2 linked regions of the Rattus norvegicus genome follow. The protein of the gene in region 1 interacts with the protein of each later gene in a pairwise test. Links are inferred from orthologs where the notes say so. Each region holds a gene or a part of one and is shown on either strand. Other genes may lie near its edges.

Region 1 (4,189 bases):
CCTTCTTTTGATGTGAATGTTCATATTTTCATTAGTAATTGTTAATAATTTTTTAATTTTTATGAGTGTTTCTGTCCGAATGTGTGTCTATGAACCACATTTAGGCCTGGTGCAGTGCTGAAAAACATATCAGATTCTCTGGGACTAGAGTTATAGGCATTTTTGAATGCATATACGGGTGCTGGGAATCAAACCTGAGTCCTCTGGAAGAGTAGCCAATGCTCTTTGATTGCTGGGCCACTTATAATCGGCTCATTACTAATTACAGAAAAGATTATTTTATTAATGTCTTGTACTGTGAAGGTTTTTGACTTACTTTAGTTTTCATTTTTCCCCCCTTTACTTAGTATAACCTTAATCTTCCCTGAATGTTTGTGCAAGAGGGTCACTGTATTCAAAGGAAGATGTTTAGGTCTATGATGTAAGGCAACTAGTTTATGAGCTGGAGGGAGCTCTTGCAACTTCAACTTTCAATAGCATTTTGGTCATCTATAGCCACCAAGACTTTGTTCTAGAGCTGGAGATGTGGTGGCCCAGGTCTTTAATCTCAGCACTGGGGAGGCAGAGGCAAGAGGAGGCCAGTCTGGTTGACTTAGCAATGTTCTATAATAGCCAGAGCTACTTAGTGAGACCCTGCCTCAAAACACAAAACAAAACCAAAGATGTGACCGGAAGGGTTGTTTCTTCATGCCCCACCCCTAGACTCCCACAGGGTTCTTCCATGTAGCCTTGGCTGTCCCGGAACTCACTTTGTAGACCAAGATGGCCTCAAACTCACAGAGATCTGCTTGCCTCTATCACTCGGAGTACGCCACCATAACTCAGCTCGTTGTGGTTAACTTCATTCACTCTGACATGCTAGTGGCTTCCAAATCGCTTTCACTTTCTCTCTTGTAGAAAATGAAAACTTGTTACTATTGTATTTCTAGTAATCAAAGTCATGAATGTGGCAGCAGCAAGCAAGAGGGGGCCATAAAGATATTATACAGGGAATTCACTATATTCAGGAAGAGTTGGTTCCGGCCTCAGAAGCGTACAAGATGTCCAACAGGGAGGAGCCTAAGCGGTCAGTTTGACCCCAAACACACACAGCCTGCAGGCAAAGCGCTGGTCTCCCTAAGGCCTGAGGCAGCGGGCCGGTTTTCCCGGCCCCGCTGAAGACCTAGCGGTTCTCTTGCTCCAGGAAAGTAGCTTAACCTTGACGATTTCATCTCCCGCATTCCCTAAGGCGTTTTCCCGCTTCCCTTTCCCGTCTTCCCAAACTCTCCTCTGCGCGCTGCGGAAGTGACGCAAGACGTAGCGGAAGTCCCTGCAGCCGCGGTGTTGTGCTGTGGAGAAGAGACGGATTTGTAAACCTCAGAGTGCGGTTCTGCCTGCCGGAGGCCGCTGTGGTGCGGAGACCCCCGGGTGAATCCACCGACACCATGTCTGACCAGGTACCGGGCCACGGCCTTGGGGCTCAGGGCCGTCGGCTGCTGGCTGAGCCCCTGGAATGGGGCGCGGGGGGAGGGGGTGATGTTGGGGGAGGGGGCTGCCGGTGGGGAGGGGGCCGCGAGGGACGCCGAGCGCCTGGCAGAGTCGGGCCGAGCCGCCTGGGATCGAGGGTCTCCGGGTTTTACGCACCCTCCGCGGCCCTTTCGGAGGCCTCTACCCCCACGCCATCCAGCGCCGGGTCTCTTTCGACTGCTCCCAGGTTTCTCTCGGGCTCGCTGGGGGCCCAGGCCCGCTCCCTTGTCCGTGAGAGCAACCTGGGGGAAAACGACCGTTTCCCTTTCAGAGGACCGATGGCAGAAACAAGGCCCTAGGCCCAGTTATGTAACGGGAGAGAATCCCTGCCTGGGAGGCTAGGTGGCCCTGAAAAGCAGCTCGATTCTACTTTGGGTTCTTGGTCCCGGAGAGTGGGGGGCGGGCAGGGATCCTTGTTTGGGGTGACTGGGAACCCAGGAGACGCTGCTTTTCAGTTGTGTTTGCCTGGAGGGTCAGTCCGTCTTTGCCCACTTCAGAGTCATTTTTCCATCCGGGGGTGCGGAGCGGTCGACTCTTTCTCTGTACTTTCCATTTCTTACTCGGGATTGGTCCATCAACTCTCCAGTTGTAGGAGCGCTCAGAATAACCGAGAAACAACAAACTGCGTAGAGTGCCACCACCAACATGCCATCCATACGGTTTTTGTCTGGCTTTCCTTTTGTTTGGTCAGATGACTTAATTTTCAGAGTATTTTTTTTTTTTTTAATTTTTACTTCTTTAGTTACAATTCAGCAAACTTTTTTCATTCTACTTTACATTGTAGTTGAGCTTTTTTAAAATTTTTTTTGTTGGTTTTTTTTTTTTTTTTTTTTTTGAGACGTTGGTTTTCTGTGTAGCCTGGTTGTCCTGGAACTCCCTCTGTAGACGAGGCTGGCCTCCAGTTTATAGAGATCCGCCTGTCTGTTTCCTGAGGATGAAAGGCTTGCAACCACCCCAGACTGGCCATAGTGGTTCTATTTTTATAGCCTATCTACACTGTAAATTAGTTGTGGGATGGATTTACTTATTAATAATCTGGATTATTAATCTTTTGGGCTAGAAATGACTTTATGAAGCCCATAATTTGTTTATGACAGTTGTTTACTTAGTTACCAGAGAGGAGAGATCAGCTGTGTAAACGCTTATGCTTCATCAGACTTCTATTTTTAAAGCATGTTAGCCAGATGAGAGGGCAACATACAGAAAGAGTTTTAAGTTTTAGGATTAGTTTTGCTCTAGTTTGAACTTACATTATGTGAGGATATGAAGAAAGAAAAGAGGACCCTAGGACACAAGGTTTCAGGGAGTCTGCAAAGTCACTCTATGCTTGCTTAGGACTCTCTCACCTCACTTGGGGTCTTTGGGTGCTGGACCTAGGGCCTCCCACATGTGCTTGCCAGGCAGGCACTAAACCCTCATTTCTCCTTTTACTTCATTTCATTAAGTTGTCTAGGTTGGACTGTAACACACTTGTCTTTGAACTTGGACTCCCTCAGCCTTGCAGAGTAGCTGGGATTACAGAGTTATGCTGCCACACTTGGTGTGTGTGTGTGTGTGTGTGTGTGTGTGTGTGTTTCTCATTCTATCATGGATGTTCAATGAAAATTTTAGAAACATGACAAAAAAGTAGAACAAATCTTTTTTTTTGAGGCAGGGTCTTAACTATGTAGCTTTTCCTGGCCTGGAACTCAGTTTCTCCTGTGTCTGTTTCCTGAGTGCTGGGATTAAAGATGTCTACCACCACAGTTGGCAAAACAAGTCTTTTTTTTTAAATTGAGCTACACATTAAAGCAATTTGCATAGGAAATAGTGCTGCTACTCTTAAAATTTTTGTCTTTAAAAAAAGTAATAAAAATGTATCTAACATTTTAGGGGTTTATTTAGTTCAAGTCAAGGGTTTCTCTGTGTAGCCTTAGTTGTCCTGGAACTTGCTATGTAGATCAGATTGGCCTCAGATTTTCCTTGCCTTGCCTCTGCCTCCCAGAGTGTATACCACCACGACAGCTGGGTTGATAGGTTTTTAAATCATTGAGAGTGTGATAATGGATTTGGGAGCTGTTGCTTTAGGCTGATGGATAACATTAATCTTAGTTCCCAGAACAAGTTCAGTATTGAGTGTTAAAGATTTGGAGAAAACGGTTAAGTGAATCCTTGCCTGTAAGAGGTTTATAAGTGAGAGTAGGAATCCCCAAGTACTGTGTGTAATAGCAACAGCCTGAGACTGAGCTGTCTTCAGAAGGTGGCCTTAGAGGGTACTTTTTCAAGTTGGGGGGTTCGATAATGTGCTTGACTTGAATACAAGATGCCCTCCAGTACCCATGCACATTTTATTTTCTGAGGCAACTCTTAGAAGCTTGTATCTTGTGCTTAAAATAGTCACATTGAGTAATAGTTTCAGCTTTTCTCTTTGTTTTGAGATGCTCTCACTGTGTATCTAGGCTGGCAGTGATCCTTCTGTTTTTACTTTCCTGAGTCCTGGGATTACAGGTGTATGTGTATGCCACTGTGTCTTGCCATAATTTCAGTTTAAAATGAGTGGATCTTTATATCTAAAATAGATCACAATCTAATGCCTAAACCTTGAGAATTCACTGAATTATGCAGTTTTTTTAAAAAGAAGGTACTATAGGTCCCATCATTGGTACATGATTTCCCAAAGAATGAGGATCATTCTATAACCATT
Region 2 (4,179 bases), on another chromosome or scaffold:
TCAAGAAATTCACCAGCCTCTGCCTGCGAGTGTTGGATCTAAAAGCTTGCTCCACCAAGTCCCGAAAGAGTCAAATATTTTCACATACTATTTAACAAGTACTTCAATCCAAGCCAAAGGCATCAGTTGTAATCCCACTAACAACCACCAGGGCGAGGTGCATTTCTTAGGTTCCAGGGAGTCCTGGAAATCTGGCACCATGTCATCTGCGGAAGACATAGGTGTAGAGGAACAAAAGACCCTCGTGCCACTCTCCAGCGGCTCCGCTTCGAATGCGCCCGGTGGCACTCCCCTGCGAGGGTCACTACCCACGGGGACAGGACTGAAGCGAAAAGCATGCGGTGACCCAAGGTCCCGTCAACGTGGAGGACAGGCGCCGGGCAGGCCCGGGAGCGCGTGCTCGGCCAGGCACCGACGGTCGAGTTCAGACAGTCTAGGTTGCAGGGGCGCGAGCCCGCTAAGGGAGCCCGGAGGCGAGTCTGGGGCCCGCACCGTCGTGTGGCCCCGCCGCAATCTAGGCGCGCACGCCGTTAGCGGCCGAGGGCAAGGCCTACGGTAGAGCGCGATCGGGTCCGTTCCGGGCCAAGTTTCTCATCCCCACGGTTTCGGTTCTGATGGGTCCCAAGTTCTCCCAACAGATCCCACAAAATGGAGGCCGACATCTCCTCCCGCCACAGCCATGGCGGAGGAGGGACACCCTTCCCACAGGCCAGGCAAGGTGGAAGCGCCTGCACGGCCGCCAGCGCACCAGTGCCTTTGCAGTCCAGCCGCGGCCGGGCTCGCCCCCTCGGTCTGCCGCAGCCACTGCCCGGCTCGCCAGTCGCCCGGGCCTTGGGGGCCTGGATAGGGAGGATGCCGGGACATAGAGGCCTCGTCTCTCCTCTGGCAGAGTTGCAGGGGACCGCGGCGACCGTCTGGAGGCCGAGGCCTGGCGTCCCGATCCCCGGCCCACGGGAAGCCTCGACGAAGACCGCCAGCCCAAAGGCCGAAGCGCGAGGCGTACTGCATGCAGCACCACTCGGGCTCCTGACCCGGGCAGACCCCGCGAGTGGGGGCGGGACGGGGCGGGGCGGGGGCACGGAGGGAGGGAGGGATGGAGGGAGGGAGGGATGGAGGGAGGGAGGGATGGAGGGAGGTAGGGCCCGCCCAGCACGGGACAGGCGGCGCGGGGGTGGTGGGGGGAGGGCCGACAGGCCGGAGGGCGTGGCCCACGGCTTACGGACAGCCGCAGTGACTACCTCACGGAGAAGGGTCCTGAAAGAAGGCCGACTGGGCCAATGGAATCTGCCCGAGGCATTCCGGGCCGCCCTCGCCAGCAGCCAATGAGCGTGCGGAGGGCGGGCCTTTCCCGGACTCCGCGGCGCCACCGCCTCCTCTACCGCCTCCTCTGCCTCCTCCTCACCAGCGCTGAAGACGGTACTGGACGGAGCTGAGCGTAGTTGTTTGTGCGGCGCAAGGGGAGTGGGCCGCGGGAGGGTAGGTTCGTTCGGCGGAGCTGCAGCCAGAACCGGGTGAGGCTTCTCCCCGCTGTCTTTCCTGTCGAGGGCCGCGGAGAGTGGGGGTGGCTGGGAGCAGCGCAGCCTCGGGAGGAGGAGGCGGAGGCGGGGGCGACTGGGGAGGCGGAGATGGGCGAGGGCCGGGAGCCTCCCACCGAGCCGGGTTTTGCAGCCCGGGGCGGCCGGCGTCGCCGCTCCTGCGTTGGGGCCTCCGGGTGCGCTGAGGGCCGGGCTCATGTCCTGGGCGGCTTCGCTTGCGGCCTGAGAGGTAAAGGAGCGGGGGCGCGGCCGGGCGGGCTGGGTGAGGCGGGCGGCGGCGGCCGGAGGTCGCCGGGTGTTTTCCTTTCCGCCTTGAGGCCGGGCGGGCCGGGGAGGAGCCCTTTGGCCCTTCGGTCTGGCGGGGCGCACTCCTCCCTGTCTGCCGGACCGAGACCCCAAGTTTTCCGTGTTAGGGGGCGGCAGCTTAGGTCCCGCAGCGTTTTCTCTTTCGCTCTCGCCTGTCGCAGCTTTTAATCTCGTTTGGGCCAGTTTCTAATGGCTGACTGGTGCTAGTCCCGGGTTGCTGAACTGAGAAATAGGAACCTTAGGCCCAGGTCAAGTGCTTGCGGCAGATGAGACCCAATTGTTGAACCGCTCTCGGGTCGGATTGGTACTTGAGTTGTAACTGCTTAGGGGAAATATGAACCCCTTGCTGGCTTGGAGGAAGCGTTTACTCTTCTGCTCAGCTGTGCGCTCTACTCCTAATTCCGAAACTGGAAAGAATATATTGAGCTTTGGCCTGCTGTCGTTCTTTAATACTTGATATCCATTGTTTATTTGGAGGTTGGTAGAACAGTTTGGGAATAACTTCACCTTGATTTATTTCCTCCTTTGGCGTTCAGGGTTCGGTGCTACCTCAGAGCTGTTGATGCTCACGGTTTGTGTGTGTGTGTGTGTGTGTGTGTGTGTGTGTGTGTATTGTTTTGTTTTGTTTTGTTTTTGTTTTTTTTTTTGTTTTTTTTTTAAGATTTATTTATTTATTGTATATAAGTACACTGTAGCTGTCTTCAGATACACCAGAAGAGGGCATCGGATCTCTTTACAGATGGTTGTGAGCCACCATGTGGTTGCTGGGAATTGAACTCATGACCTCTGGAAGAGCAGTCGGGTGCTCTTAACCGCTGAGCCATCTCTCCAGCCCTGTTTTTGTTTTTTAATTTCCTTTTATTCTAGGATTTTTCAAGCCACTCTAAAGAAGCATTTGGCAGAAATAAGGAAAACATCTCCATTGTGAGTCATTTTGTATAGCTTTCCTATAGTGTGTTAGTGGATATTATAACATTGCTGTCGTCTAGGTTTCCTAAATAGGACTATGGTCTTATTCCTAAGATGCTGTGCACTTAACATTTTTGTGTTCCTTTCCAGATTTCTTTCTGCTGTTGTATTTTTTTTTTTTTTTTTTTTTTTTTTGGTTCTTTTTTTCGGAGCTGGGGACCGAACCCAGGACCTTGTGCTTCCTAGGTAAGCGCTCTACCACTGAGCTAAATCCCCAGCCCTCTGCTGTTGTATTTTTTAAACCACTAAATAATTATCTAAAATAAACGGGAAATATTTTTTAAATTACTGACATGTTTTAAGGTTGAGGAAAAACAAATCACAGATTATTTTTTTAAAAGAGTATATTTTACACGAATAGATGTAAAATATGTCTGTGTGCCACTTGGGTGCAGTGTTGAAGAAGTCCAGAAGAGGGCAGTGAATCCTTTAGAACCAAACAGCAAATTATGCACTGCACTTGGTGTGGGGACTCCTTTTGCTAAGCAGTCTCCTGATTACTCTAACCTGACTACTGGCGTTATTTCCTGCTATGTGGCCAGATTATATCTTATACTCAGCTCTGGTCTGTTTACTTCTATGTGTGCGAGCTGTTTCTGCCTACAGGTTAAGAACCTCTGCTTTAAAAGTACAAAGCCAGGAGCTGGAGAGAGGGCTCACTCAGCCAGTCCCTGTAGCCCAGAACACCCATACACAGTCAATACAGAAAAGAGCATGGCTATTCTCTGTGTAGTCCTGGCTGTCCTGAAACTCACTTTGTAGAATGAGTTCAAACTCGCCTGTGCCTCCCAATCGCTGTGTGCACTGGACCCTTTGTAGCTTTCACCTCAATGATGCTGGTTTCTTGTTTATCCCAGTCAGTTTTTCATGATGTCACACAAATGACCCTGTTAGTCTTTGCTGCCCTCTGAGACATCCCAAGCCATGCTTCCAGCAGCTGGATTTTCCTTCACACTCTTCTCTTACATTTTAGTGCCCATCATAAAGGGAAGTTGGGGCAGAAACTGAAGCTTCTTGCTTGGTAGCTTACCATGTGCATCTGCCTGTCTTCTACTGCTTAGAATCGATTGTACCCGCAGGCTTGCTTGCCTCCAGGCCAGTCTGATAGTGTCTACAGGTCCGTCCGTGCCCCCCCCACTTTAGCTTGTGTCAGGCTGGTAAGAAAGGAAACTACCAGCACAAAGCACTCTACTATCTCCATCCTTTTTGCTATTAAGCTTTTAATTTACACCAGCTCATTTTGAGATGCAATTTTTAATGCCTATGAATACCATGAGTTTTATTATTTGAAAACAATCTTTGTGATAAAAACAACATAGAGCACACAAATCCAAACAACTCATTGAAAACTTACAATTGAATGAAAGGA

The links.
Region 2: the proteins of Sumo1 (region 1) and Zmym5 interact in binary tests that used the Homo sapiens proteins (3 or more experiments, as listed by UniProt). The link is inferred for Rattus norvegicus from reciprocal best matches to the Homo sapiens genes SUMO1 and ZMYM5.

The regions. Positions count from the first base shown.
Region 1 is NC_086027.1:68,599,998-68,604,186, reverse strand, and holds the start of Sumo1 (small ubiquitin-related modifier 1), read left to right. Parts: upstream 1-1,383; 5' UTR 1,384-1,424; coding exon 1,425-1,436; intron 1,437-4,189. UniProt on the Homo sapiens protein: Ubiquitin-like protein that can be covalently attached to proteins as a monomer or a lysine-linked polymer.
Region 2 is NC_086033.1:35,054,036-35,058,214, reverse strand, and holds the start of Zmym5 (zinc finger MYM-type protein 5), read left to right. Parts: upstream 1-1,372; 5' UTR 1,373-1,511; intron 1,512-1,626; exon of another isoform or gene 1,627-1,764; intron 1,765-2,708; exon of another isoform or gene 2,709-2,765; intron 2,766-2,900; 5' UTR 2,901-2,996; intron 2,997-4,179. UniProt on the Homo sapiens protein: Functions as a transcriptional regulator.